Linked DNA regions of Anolis sagrei. The protein of the gene in region 1 interacts with the protein of each later gene in a biochemical or structural test. Links are inferred from orthologs where the notes say so. Each region holds a gene or a part of one and is shown in the gene's direction. Other genes may lie near its edges.

Region 1 (7,132 bases):
GCTACAAAGTCTGGAGGAGAAGAGAGGGCTGGGCAGGCGGAGCCCTTTAATCACATCCTGCTCCAAGCGGCACGGCAAATATTGAATTCTGCCACACAAGGGGACCGGCTCCGTTTCCCTCTGTTTTCTGCAATGTACTTCTCTCCACCTGCACAGCAGCCAAAGAACCCCAGAAGGAGTGGGAATTATTCATGGCTAGAACAAGGCCCAGATCTCCTTACACCACATCAGTGCCGAGTTGCTGAAATCCTCATGAGAAAGCAGACAGTTCTCCAATCAGGTATGAAACATATCAGGGCATCATACTTCCCTGCAACCCTTTCATTTGCAATATTCTGGGAGCAAGTTATAGGGTTTGAGTGCCCTTTATTGTAAGGGATATGCTTTATTCAAGGGTCAGGAAGCTTGCCCCTCATGGGGCTGGCAGGTGCCCTTAATCGTAAGGGATGCTGCAGAAGATGGATGGCCATGGGTTGGGAGCAGGCCCGTAGCGAGGGGGGGGGGGGTTAGGGGTTCAAACCCGCCCCCCGAAATGTTTCAGATTTTTTTAAAAAACCTGGTTTACTCATGAATTTTAACTGGTTAACCAAATCCCCATGCTAAGTCTATGAGATGCAAAAAATCAAGAGTCCCTCCAGAACTGCAAGCACTATCTCGAGCAAATATTGGCAATTTATTCACACTGTCATTATTTGCAGCAATAGCCGATGTAGTTGTTCTGGTACAGCTGTACCAGGAGCTCCAACTTTATTTGCTTTGTATTAAATGTTTGCTTGCAGTCCTAGGTTTCAGGGACTCTGCAGATAGGTGGCTTCCTTCGGTTGCAGTCATAGGGCAAGTCACCTGTCCATCATCGTTAAGTTTTGGTCCCGCCCCTTGCTCAGGGCAATTGGAAAGGGAAGGGAGCCATTTTTAGTTAGTCTCAGCAAGGTAAGCTTATGTATAGGATGTGTGCAAGCTTCCCCTGTACAAAAGCTTCAACCCTTAAGACCTTCCGGGGGAGAAAGGTCTTAAGAGTCTCCAAAGAATTTCCAGGAAAACAGCCCTAAAGACCAAAGAACTCCAGCTGGAGAACATCTACTGCCTTGCTGGTAGGTCCACTCGGCGTTCGAGACGCAGTTCGACCCGGTAGCGGAGCCCACATCAGTAAGGGTTAGATTACAGTCAGCCTGGGAAAAGTTAAAACGGGGATTTTTCTTTAAAGAAGAAGTTATTGAAGACAGTTGCCTGTCCTTCGTGGGCAAGATTAGGAATTCACCAGTTGCCTAAAAGCTTGGAATCATTTGCTTAACTTTACTGAAGACAAGAGAAGTTTCTGTTTGATTGTTCATTAATAAAATACTTTGTTGTACTTCTCAAGCCATCTAAAGACTGTTTGTGGTGGAAACCTCTGAGAACTTCTCTTTAGGCCCCCTGGCTTCCTGCTGGGCAAAGGTTGCACATCCTGTTCTAAAGACAATTATTTACAGGCCCGGCGCGTGACAGAATAGTAGTGAAGCAACCAAGTTGGGGGGGGGGGGGATGTTGAATGCTCTCATTAAGGAGGCCAGACTTGGTGGAGGTGGTTGACAAGGGCGGAGCTGCAGGCTATTGAAGGCTGCTCTGCCCCTCTTTGCTTCAGCGTGAGCTAGGAGGCGGGTTTCAACCCCCCCTGCGAAATTTTCAACCCCCCCCCCCAAATTTCAACCCCTCCCGAATTTTTTTTCTGGCTACGGCCCTGGTTGGGAGTGCTCGGATGGTGCTTTCCTGCATGTCAAAATGTGGTGAGGTAAAGGTAAAGGGTTTCCCCTGACATTAAGTCTAGGGGGTTGGTGCTTATCTCCATTTCTAAGCCGTAGAGCCGGCATTGTCCATAGACACCTCCAAGGTCATGTGGCCAGTATGACTGCATTGAGTGCTGTTACGTTCCTATTGATCTACTCGCATTTGCATGTTTTCAAACTGCTAGATTGGCAGAAGCCGGGGCTAACAGCGGGAGCAAACCCTGTTACCTGGATTTGAACCTGCAACCTTTCTGTCAACAAGCTCAGCAGCTCAGCAGTTTAACCCACTATGCCACCGGAGGCTCCTAAAATGGGTTGAACTGGACCCATAACCCTTTGGTTAGGGAAATCCCCAAAATAGCAGAATATTAAAAAATACAAAGTAGGATACTTAATTGAGCAATTTAGCTCACAGCAGGCAGAAGGTGTTGTGGATGGAAAATAATCCTTTTGGGTTGTTGTAGGCCACCTTCCCTCTCTCCTGAGGAATCTGGACAAGGACCAAGTAGCAACAGTAAGAACTGACCACGGAACAAGAGACTGGTTCAAGATTGGGAAAGGCGTACGGCAAGGCTGCATCCTCTCACCCAACCTTTTTAACTTGTATGCAGAACACATCATGCAAGGATGTGCGGGGCTTGATGAATGCAAAGCTGGGGTGAAAATGGCTGGAAGAAACATTAACAACCTCAGATATGCAGATGACACCACTCTGATGGCCGAAAGCGAGGAGGAGCTGAGGAGCCTTCTAATCAAGGCGAAAGAAGAAAGCGCAAAAGCCGGGTTGCAGCTAAACATCAAAAAAACCAAGATTATGGCAACAAGAATGATTGACAACTGGGAAATAGAGGGAGAAAACGTGGAGGCCATGACAGACTTTGTATTTCTAGGTGCAAAGATTGCTGCAGACACAGACTGTGGCCAGGAAATCAGAAGACGCTTACTTCTTGGGAGGAGAGCAATGTCCAGTCTCGATAAAATAGTCAAGAGTAGAGACATCAGACTGGCAACAAAGATCCATTGCCTAGTCAAAGCCATGGTCTTCCCTGTAGTCACCTACGGATGTGAGAGCTGGACCTTAGGGAAGGCTGAGCGAAGGAAGAGAGATGCTTTTGAGCTGTGGTGTTGGAGGAAAGTGCTGAGAGTGCCTTGGACTGCGAGAAGATCCAACCAGTCCATCCTCCAGGAAATAAAGCCTGACTGCTCACTGGAGGGAAGGAGACGAGAGACAAAGTGGAAGTCCTTTGGCCACATCATGAGGAGACAGGAAAGCCTAGAGAAGACAATTATGCTGGGGAAAGTGGAAGGGAAAGGGAAGAGGGGCCGACCAAGGGCAAGGTGGATGGATGGCGTCCTTGAAGTGACTGGACTGACCTTGAAGGAGCTGGGGGTGGCCACGGCCAACAGGGAGCTCTGGCGTTGACTGGTCCATGAAGTCACGAAGAGTTGGAAACAACTGAACGAGTGAACAACAACATCTATCTCTGTGTGTACCAGATCAGCTGTGTGACTCAATTGTTGATCTGGTTTGAGCTGTATCAATTATATGCAAACAAACACACTTTCCTATATTGCAGTAATGGGCCGACTTCGACACTCCAGGTGTTTCGGACTAGAATCATAGAATCAAAGAGTTGGAAGAGACCTCATGGGCCATCCAGTCCAACCTTATTCTGCCAAGAAGCAGGAATATTGCATTCAAATCACCCCTGACAGATGGCCATCCAGCCTCTGTTTAAAAGCTTCCAAAGAAGGAGCCTCCACCACACTCCGGGGCAGAGAGTTCCACTGTTGAACGGCTCTCACAGTCAGGAAGTTCTTCCTCATGTTCAGATGGAATCTCCTTTCTTGTAGTTTGAAGCCATTGTTCCACGTCCTAGTCTCCAAGGAAGCAGAAAACAAGCTTTCTCCCTCCTCCCTGTGGCTTCCTCTCACATATTTATACATGACTACAGCTTCTACAAGTTAGGAATTGTGGAAGTTGAAGTCCAAAGCACCTGGAAGGCTGAAGTTAGAGTGTTAGGGTCTCCTTCTCTGAATGTCTTCAAAAACAGAGCCTGGGCGGCCATTTGTCGGGAGGGCTTCAATGGCGATGCAGAAGGGGGTTGGACTGGATGGCCTTTGGGGACCTCTTCCAAATGGAGGAGAGTCCTATTCCCTGCGAAAGAGGCGGCCTGAGAGTGTGGACACGCCCTCTAGTGGCGCTTTAAAACCGCAGCAAGCGGCAGACGCCGGCTCTCACTCTGCCAAGGAAGGATGCGCCAGGACTTCCGAGCCTTTCCTGCTCCTTTTCCTAGAAGCAGAGGAAGATAGAGTTGGAAGAGACCTCAAGGGCCATTCATTCCAGGCAGGAGAAGCACAATCAAAGCCCTCCCGACAGATGGCCGTCCAGTCTCTGCTTCAGAGAAGGAGACTCCACTGGATTCCCAGGCAGCAGATTGAGATGATTCTTCTTCTTCTTCCAAGCTGAGATTCCTCCTCCTCCTCTTCTTCCAAGGCTTTCTTCCAGAGTCAGGACAGAGGACATGAGTGCCATCCGGAACCCTCTGGATCCCTCTCCGTGCCATCCTTAAGCTTCTGGATCCCTGAATGCGGAGAGATCTCCTGAATCCGCGACGAGGCTGAGAAAGCGGCTCAAGGCGCACAGCTCCTTCTTGGATGGACGGGGCGGGCGGAGGAAGAAACAGAAGCAGAGGTGAGTGGGTGTCTGGGTTGGTTGGACAGGAATCCTTCAAAATGAAGCCTTGGTATTGCTCCCTTTTGGGGGGAAACCCTCTTCTGCAAACATCGGGCCCCCTTTTGTGACTTTCACCCCATCCCTGAATGAGTATCCCCTGCTTCTCTCTCTCCAAACATAGAATCCTAGAGTTGGAAGAGACCTCATGGGCCATCCAGTCCAACCCCATTTCTGCCAAGAAGCAGGACAATCGCATTCAAAGCACCCCTGACAGATGGCCATCCCGCCTCTGTTTCAAAGCCTCCAAAGAAGGAGACTCCACCCCACTCTGAGGCAGAGAGTTCCACTGCTGAACAGCTCTCACAGTTAGGAAGTTCTTCCTCATGTTCAGGTGGGATCTCCCTCCTTTTTCTCTCCCCAAACATAGAATCCTAGAGTTGGAAGAGACCTCATGGGCCATCCAGTTCAACCCCATTTCTGCCAAGAAGCAGGAAAATCGCCTTCAAAGCACCTCTGACAGATAGCCATCCAGCCTCTGTTCAAAAGCCTCCAAAGAAGGAGCCTCCACCCCACTCTGAAGCAGAGAGTTCCACTGCTGAACAGTTCTCACTATTAGGAAGTTCCTCCTCATGTTCCTCCTTTCCTGTAGTTCCATTGCATCCTAGTCTCCAGGGCAGCAGAAAACAAGCTTGCTCCCTCCTCACATCTTGATCTACGGTCCCCATCATGTCTTCTCTCAGCCTTCTCTTCTGCAGGCTAAACATGCCTAGTTCTTTAAGCCGCTCCTCACAGGGCTTGTTTTCCAGACCCTTGATCTTTTGAGTTGCCCTCCTTTATACATATTCCAGCTTAGAGTCAACCTCTTCATTCAATTCCGGTGCCCAGAATTGGACACAATGTGATTCCAGGGCAGCAGAAAACAAGCCTGCTCCCTCCTCCCTATGACTTCCCCGTTCCCCTCACCTCTTTATATATGACCCTTATCACGTCTCCTCTCAGCCTTCTCTTCTGCAGGCTAAACATGCCCTGCTCTTTAAGCCACTCCTCACAGGGCTTGTTCTCCAGACCCTAGATCCTTTGAGTTGCCCTCCTTTATACACATTCCAGCTTAGAGTCAACATCTCCCTTCGATTTCTGTGCCCAGAATTGGACACAGTGTGATTCCAGGGCAGCAGAAAACAAGCCTGCTCCCTCTTCCCTATGACAGGTCACAGGTTCGAATCCAGGGAGAGCACAGATGAGCTCCCTCTATCAGCTCCAGCTCCTCATGCATGGACATGAAAGAAGCCTCAAATAAAGATGATAAAAAAATCAAAACATCTGGGCGTCCCCTGGGCAATGTCCTTTCAGACGGCCAATTCTCTCACACCAGAAGTGACTTGCAGTTTCTCAAGTTACTCCTGACACGAAAAAAAAAATCACATCTCCTCTCAGGCTTCTCTTCTGCAGGCTAAACATGCCCAGCTCTTTAAGCCGCTCCTCATAGGGCTTGTTCTCTAGACCCTTGATCATTTTAGTCACCCTCTTTCCAGCTTGTCAACATCTCTCTTCAATTGCGGTGCCCAGAATTGGACCCAATGTGAATCCAGGTGTGGTGTGACCAAGGTTAAATAGAATAGAGGGATAGCATGACTTCTCTAGATCTAGACACTATGCTCCTATTGATGCAGGACAAAATCCCATTGGCTTTTTTGCTGCCACATAACATTGTTGGTTCATTAACTTGTTGTCCACAAGGAATCAAATCCTGAAATTGCACAGAAATCTTGGCCTTTTTCTGCTACAAAGGAAACTCTGGCTGAATCTACACTGGGTTGTTGTAGGTTTTTTCAGGCTATGTGGCCATGTTCTAGAGGCATTCTCTCCTGACGTTTCTCCTGCATCTATGGCAAGCATCCTCAGAGATAGTGAAGATGCTTGCCATAGATGCAGGCGAAACGTCAGGAGAGAATGTCTCTAGAACATGGCCATATAGCCCCCCCAAAAAAACCCTACAACAACCCAGTGATTCCGGCCATGAAAGCCTTCGACAATACAATGAATCTACACTGTTTGGCACCACTTTAACTGCCATGGCTCACTACTATGGAAACTTGAGATTTGTATTGTCAAAGGCTTTCATGGCTGGAATCACTAGGTTCTTGTTGTGAGGATGCTTGCCATAGATGCAGGCGAAACGTCAGGAGAAATGCCTCTAGAACATGGCCCTATAGCCCAAAAAAACCCACAAGAACCTTGAGATTTGTAGTTTGGCGAGGCACCAGCACATCTTGGCAGAGAAGGTGAAGAGACCTTGCAAAACTTCACCTCCCAGGATTCCATCACATGGAGCCATGGCCATTCAAGTGGCATCAAAATACATTTATTCTACAGTGGAGATGCGCCCTGTGTTACTACGAATGCGTGTTTTCCATGCTCTGCGCATTCCAGCACTCAGCGTTGCGGAAATTGCTTTTCTGATGGCATTGTTTGGAGGGCCAGGTTGTTATTTCCTTGCAGTGCTGGAAAGTCACCTCTTTCTTGTCACTTCTGATTTCTTTATTGCTACAGGTCAAGGGTCCCTTATTCAAAATGCTTGGAACTAGAAGACTTTTGGATTTATTTTTTTGAGAGGGTTTTAGAATACCACCCTGAGTCCCCTCGGGGAGATAGGGCTGGTTATAAACAAACTATTATTATGTATTGTCGAAGA
Region 2 (7,590 bases), on another chromosome or scaffold:
TACGAGAGCCTTATGATCTATCTGTGCAAATTCTTTTGCAGTGGTGGCTTTATATTTGTATATTCTTGGCTGTTATAGCAGTGTTTGCCATCTGGCCAAGCAGAGCTCATGGGTAGGATGTCAGGCAGGAAACAGTCTGGCAGGTTTAATCTTCAAATAGCCTGTCTACTTATGGTGACCCCTTGAATTTCAAAGCGCTTTCTTAAACAAGGCATACTCCAAGGTGGTTTTGACAGGGTTTTTTTCCCTTTGAAATTGCTGCTATTGTTGTGTTCCTTCAAGTAATTTCTGACTTATGGCAACTGTTAAGTGAACCTATCATGATGTTTTTCTTGGTAAGATTTGTTCAGAGGGGTTTGCCTTCCCCTGCGGCTCAGAGAGTGTGACCTGCCCAAGATCACCCAGTAGGTTCCCATGGTTGAGCAAGGATTTGAAATCTGATCTCCCAGTATCCTTGTTTAATACACAAATGACTACATCATGCTGGTTGTCTTCTTCCCTGAAATTGGCTTCCTAAAAACAGAGCAGCAAGCTTTTCAGGACCCTGGACAGTGTCTCTAATGAATGCAACTGTATCAACAGAAGTCCTTTCCTATTCATTGTATTTGACATCTTTCAGCAGGTAAACATAGAATGCAAAGCCTTAAAGTAAGTATTTTGGCCTGACATCTACAACTTTGCCATCTCATGTTGTCACTCTGGCTTAGTGGCATGCTTGCCTCTCAATGGAAATTGATTTTAAGGCTACAATTGCTTAGGAGCCATGATAATTTCAGATTTGGGGATCTTTGATGTTTTAGATTCGGAATTCTCTGGTTCATTGCTTAATTAATTTATTGTTTATTATTTATTTCAAACATTTGTACCCTGCCCTTCTCAACCCTCCCCCCCTCCGGGGGGGGGACGGACTCAGGGCGGCTTACATCTGGCACAATTGGATGCCGTTACATATAAATAATACATATTGTAATTACACAGTAAATTAATTTTAAAATTAGTTTTAAAATAAAAAGTACATTAATAAAAATGCAAACCAGTAGCCTCTCATAGTCTCTGACTTGGTTACTGCCAAAATTTGGGCTCACAACAACTTCCTTACTTGGGCTAATTCTGTAAAACTGATACTGAGTCCAACTAGCTCAGAATTGTTTCTCCAGGCCTTTGATGTCTACTCTGATTAGTAATGACTGATGGGGATCTCTGGAACTATCTTTCACTATGATGCTTTTCATTTCCTTTCATAAGTTAGGATCCAATGTTGGGGTGTGCGTGTGAATATATAACTTTTTACATGTAATTTCGGATGCTTACTCTTTGCAAACCTTCCCCAAAGACACTTTTCATGAATCCCAAACTTATGCCCATTTTTAGAAGTATGTCTCACTATGTTCAATGCAACCTACACCCACAACTTGCTTAGGGCTAAACTAGATGTGACATCAAAAGATTTTTTTAAAGAAAAAGTTTAATAGTAGCTATAAAATGGGCCAGAGAGAATTATAGGAAGGACTGCAGAGTTGTGCAAGAGATTTCAGTGTTTCTTCCTGTCTTTTCCCTATTAAAATCCTAATGTCCAATCTGTTCTCCCTTGTAGAAACATATAGGTATTTGCATACAACACCAGAATTTTTATATCCATAACAGGAACGGATTTTTTGAGGATCTTCTTCATATGTGTCTTGAACACCAATTTCCATAAACCCCCAGACAGCTCCTTAGGTGACTGCAAATTTAGGGAAGCTCTAGTCCAGTGGTTCCCAACCTTTGGACCTCCGGGTATTTTGGACTTCAGTTCCCACAATTCCTAACAGCTGGTAAACTGGCTGGGATTTCTGGGAGTTGAAGTACAGAATAACTGGATGACCAAAGGTTGGAAACCACCTCTCTAGTCCAACAAACCTGGAGAACAACTGGGATGGGGTGGCTGAAATGTGCGCACAGATGGAGTCTTTATGAATAGGAATACAGTAAATCAGGGGTGATCTATGGGGTCCCTCCACATGTTGCTAGACTGCAGCTCTTAGCATTTGTTACAATTGGATATGCTGATAAGGGACGATGAAAGAGGAAATCTCTGAAGCAAATGAATATAGAAATGGAAGAAATTTCTCACCTGGAGCATCTCTACCACCTTCTGCTTGGGAAGTCTGGTCTACACATAACATTGAATGATGCAATAATCCTGGATCATATCAGAATGACATTTTTAAAATGTTCATCCCTGGGAAATGAATCTCCTTGCAAGCAGAAAACTATCACATAATTGAACTGAAAGAGAAATAGAATCATTTTTTCTAGTGCACATTCTCTCGTAGAGCACTGAATAGGTATTGAAGAACCAAGGTCTGTTTTGCCACCTGAGGATTCATCACCTTGTTCCATGCTTGCTACACTACATGTGCTAGTCACAAAAGACTGATGGGACCAACAGCTCTTTTCATGATATTGTAACCTTCAATCCAGTTTTGGGGATGGTTAACTTCCAGACTCAGGTGTTAACCCTGTGATCTTCTGAATTAGTTCTTTGTTATTACATTTGTTTGCTGCATTAATGTAAAACATGGTTGTGTATTCATGTTGTAGATGGAATAATTTGGTGATCTGTCAGGCATGGAATGTTCCATGTGAGGCATGGATTATTGGGACTTGTGATCAGCTGGTTTTCTGAGGGGATTGTAAAAGTGAAGATGCATATGGTTGTTAGTCTGGTGAGAATTGGGTCTGTCAGTATTAGAAATTAGTTAGTGGGATGCAGAATGTGAATGATTATAAGTTAGGATCTGAGATAGAAGAGAACTAAGACTCAGAGTCAGACTTAGCAAGGAGATGTGTATGAGAGGGAAATATGTCATTTCGATGCATTAAAAACAAATCTAATCTCATGTTCGATTTCTGATAAATACATCTTTTTGCATGAAATGCTTTGGTCTCTTGGAAAGCCAAGTTCAGACAAGGTGTCTATGGTGGCAGTTCAGAATCAAGAGTGGGGTGCCCAGTGGAAAAAGAAGATAAATAAAATCTCACACAGAACCACAAGGGCTTAGAGGAATAAATGGAAGCCCTCACATTTGGTAGTTTGCGTGGGATAAATGGAAGCCCTCACATTTGGTAGCTGTGGGTGATAAAATGGAACCCCTCACGTTTGGTAGTTTGGTTGGGAGAAATGGAAGCCCTCATATATTGTAGGTGTATTTGGGATAAATTGAAGCCATCACATGAGGTAGTTGTATTTGGGATAAATGGAAGCCAGCATATGAGGTAGCTTGGTTGGGTTAAATGGAAGCCTTCACATTTGGTTGCTTGGTTGGGAGAAATGGAAGCCCTCATATTTGGTAGCTGTATTTGGAATAAATGGAAGCCCTCTCACAAGATAGCTTGGTTGGTTAAATGGAAGCCTTCACATTTGGTAGCTTGGTAGGGATAAATGAAAGCCTTCACATTTGTTTGCTTGGTTGGGATAAATGGAAGCCCTCACACTTGGTTGCTTGGTTGGGAGAAATGGGAGCTTTCATATTTGGTAACTGTGTGTGGGATAAATGGAAGCCCTCACATGAGGTAGCTTGGTTGGGTTAGATAGAAGCCTTCACATTTTGTTGCTTGGTTTGGAGAAATGGAAACCCTCACATGAGGTAGCTTGGTTAGGTTAAATGGAAGCCTTCCCATTTGGTAGCTGTGGGTGGGAGAAATGGAGGTCCTCATATTTGGTAGCTGTAGTTGGGTTAAACGGAAGCCTTCCCATTTGATAGCTTGGTTGGGATAAACGGAAGCCCTCACATGAGGTAGCTCTATTTGGGGACAAATGGAAGCCCTCACATTTGGTAGCTTGGTTGGGATAAATGGAAGCCCTCATATTTGGTAACTGTGTGTGGGATAAATGGAAGCCCTCACATGAGGTAGCTTGGTTGTGTTGAATGGAAGCTTTCACATTTGGTAGCTTGGTTTAGAGAAATGGAAGCCCTCATATTTGGTAGCTGTATTTGGGATAAATGGAAGCCCTCGCATGAGGTAGCTTGGTTGGGTTAGATGGAAGCCTTCACATCTGGTAGCTTGGTTGGGAGAAACGGAATCCCTCATAGCTGTGTTTGGGATAAATAGAAGCCCTGTTTGCTGGCAAGGGTTGGGATAAGTGGAAGCCTTCATATTTGGTAGGTGTAGGTGGGATAAATGCAAGCCCTCACATCTGGTGGCAGATGTTGAGATAGGTGGAAGTCTTCATATTTTGAGGAAGGGGATTGGGAGAAGTGAAAAACCCTCATATGTGGTAAAAAAAATGGGGGAAAGCCGTTTAGTCCCTTTCCCTACCAACTGCTAGCTAGAGCTGGTGACTAAATAATTTGAGAAATAGGAGAACTCTTTGGAGGGTGTGTGCGTGACCAGGTTTAGACAGTTGCCTTTCTGACAGAGCGTGACTCTGAGCCAAGCTCTGCCCTCCTCTTCCTCCTCCTCCTCCTGTCCGGGAGATTTAAAAGTCCGCTCTGTTTGGCTGGGAGTTGCAAAGCCGGGAGGAAAGCAGCGGCGGCAAAAAGCGCGCCAAAGGCAGAGAGGTGCCCAGGAACCATGCAAAGCCGGGCGGGCGCTTGTTGGCGACCCCAGCCTTCCTTGGCAGCCTCGGAGGAGGGCGGGAGAAGCCTTTGCCGCCCCAGGAAGATGCCCCTCGGGTCGGGCACCCCTTGGGGGCTGCTCCTCTTCCTCCTCGCCTTTGGGGTCAGCTCCTGCAAAGGTAAGGGCTCTTCCCACCCTCCCCTCCCTTCGCCACCCCACGCCTTTCTCCCTCTTTCAGGCGCTCCTTCTGTCTAGAGATCTACTCCTCCCTCCAAGTGTCCCTCCTTATCTTTTCTCCTGGGCTTGCTTGCTTCTGAGATCTATATGGATGCATTTGTATGTATATGTATATTTATGTCACTTTTGGTTGTTAGAGGTATCAGGCTGGATCTACACTGCCCTATATCCCAGAATCTGATTCCAGATTATCTGATTTGAGAGTTCTAGTTTTTGTTTAATAGTTTCAGTTGTTAGGTTGGATATCTCTTTTTATTGTTAGAGGTATTAGGCTGGATCTGCACTGCCCTATATCCCAAGTTCTGATTCCAGATTATCTGATTTGAACTGAATTCTACACTGCCAGATAATCTGGGATAAACAGATAATCTGGGATCAGATCCTGGAATATAAGGCAGTGTAGATCCAGCCTCATATCCTACAAGCAGTTTGATAATATCACCTAGATCAGATCATAATTAAAATTCATATATATATATATATATATATATATACTTAGTTATAATTATATTAATTATGATATGATTATTCTTAATTAGGATATAATTTAGATAATACTACAAAACTGCTTGTAAGATCTGAGGCTGGATCTACACTGTCCTATATCCTAGGTTCTGATTCCAGATTATCTGATTTGAACTGAATTCTATGAGTCTACACTGCCAGATAATCTGGGATAAACAGGTAATCTGGGATCAGATCCTGGAATATAGGGCAGTGTAGATCCAGCCTCAGATCCTACAAGCAGGTTTGTAATATCACCTAGATCAGTGTTTCTCAACCTGGGGGTCGGGACCCCTGGAGAGGTCGTGAGGGGGTGTCAGAGGGGTCACCAAAGACCATCAGAAAACACAGTATTTTCTGTTGGTCATGGAGGCTCTGTGTGGGAAGTTTGGCATAATTTTATCATTGGTGGGGTCCAGAATGCTCTTTGATTGTAGGTGAACTATAAATCCCAGCAACTACAACTCCCAAATGTCAAGGTCTATTTTCCCCAAACTCCATCAGTGTTCACATTTGGGAACTTTGAGTATTCATACCAAGTTTGGTCTGGATCCATCATTGTTTGAGTCCACCGTGCTCTCTGGATGTAGGTGAACTACAACTCCAAAACTCAAGATCAATGCCTGTCAAAACCTTCCAGTATTTTCTGTTGGTCATGGGACCTTGAAGGAGCTGGGGGTGGTGACGGCCGACAGGGAGCTCTGGCGTGGACTGGTCCATGAAGTCATGAAGAGTCGGAGACGACTGAACGAATGAACAACAACAACAACATGGGAGTTCTGTGTGCCAAGTTTGGTTCTATTCCATTGTTGATGGAGTTCAGAATGCTCTTTGATTGTAGGTGAACTATAAGTCCCAGCAACTACAACTCCCAAATGACAAAATCAATCCCCCCAACCCCACCATTTTTTAAATTTGATTGTATTGGGTATTTGTGCATAATTTGGTCCAGTGAATGAAAATACATCCTGCATATCAGATATTTATATTACGATTCATAATGGTAGCAAAATTACAGTTATGAAGTAGCAACAAAAATAATTTTATGGTTGGGGATCACCACAAGATGAGGAAATGTATTAAGTGGTCATGGCATTAGGAAGATTGAGAACCACTGACCTAGATCATATCACAATACATCATCTCTCTCTCTCTCTCTCTCTCTCTATATATATATATAATTAAAAATTATCATAATTAAAAATTATGATATGATACATATATGTGTGTGTGTGTGTGGGTGGGTGTGTAGAGAGAGAGAGAGAGAGTTGTTGTTCATTCGTTCAGTCACTTCCGACTCTTCGTGACCTCATGGACCAGCCCACGCCAGAGCTCCCTGTCGGCCATCACCACCCCCAGCTCCTTCAAGGTCAAGCCAGTCACTTCAAGGGTACCATCCATCCATTCATCGTGCCCTTGGTCAGCCCCTCTTCCTTTTTCCTTCCATTTTCCCCAGCATAATTGTATTCTCTAAGCTTTCCTGTCTTCTCATGATGTGGCCAAAATACTTCATCTTTGCCTCTAATATCCTTCCTTCCAATGAGCTGCTCTCTCACCCCCTCCCTCTATATATAATTATATTTAATTATAATTATTTTAGTTATGATGTGATTATTTTTAATTACGATATGATTATTGTTAATTATGATATGATCTATATAATACTACAAAACTGCTTGTAAGATCAGAGGGTGGATCTACACTGCCCTATATCCCAGGATCTGATCCCAGATTATCTGCTTATCCCAGATTATATTATTTGGCAGTGCAGACTCATAGAATTCAGTTCAAATCAGATAATCTGGGATCAGAACCTGGGGTATAGAGCAGAGTAGATCGAGCCTGATACCTCTAACAACCAAAAGAGATATCCAACCTAACAACTGAAACTATTAAACAAAATCCAGAACTCTCAATCAACCCAATAACACTGTGCAACACCAGTTTTGTTCCTGGGTTATAAATGTCGTTTCCTAATTGGTTCTATCATAAAAACATGGGGCAAGTTTATTAAACTGCCCATATTTTGTTTTAGACGGACCTCCTGCAGCACATTTTTGCTATGTTTTTCAAGGAATATATTTTTAAGTTTCAACCAATTTGACCTAATTTGTGGCAGCCACAAAAACAAAGTTTCTGAAGTAGAACTATTATTTTCAAAATAAGTACTGCCCATTTAAACAGGAAATAACACTTTCAAACCAGGAACAGATTTTGTTTTCACATTTTGTTACATATTTTCAATAAAAAAGCTGTTTTTTTAATCATTCAGTAAAACAGTAAAAGTGTGAGACCCGAAATTCAATG

Evidence for each region.
Region 2: the proteins of NMUR1 (region 1) and NMU form a complex in vitro, tested with the Homo sapiens proteins (2 studies listed by BioGRID). The link is inferred for Anolis sagrei from reciprocal best matches to the Homo sapiens genes NMUR1 and NMU.

The regions. Positions count from the first base shown.
Region 1 is NC_090023.1:266,931,705-266,938,836, forward strand, and holds the start of NMUR1 (neuromedin-U receptor 1), read left to right. Parts: upstream 1-4,003; 5' UTR 4,004-4,458; intron 4,459-7,132. UniProt on the Homo sapiens protein: Receptor for the neuromedin-U and neuromedin-S neuropeptides.
Region 2 is NC_090025.1:73,560,145-73,567,734, forward strand, and holds the start of NMU (neuromedin-U), read left to right. Parts: upstream 1-4,427; 5' UTR 4,428-4,557; coding exon 4,558-4,720; intron 4,721-7,590.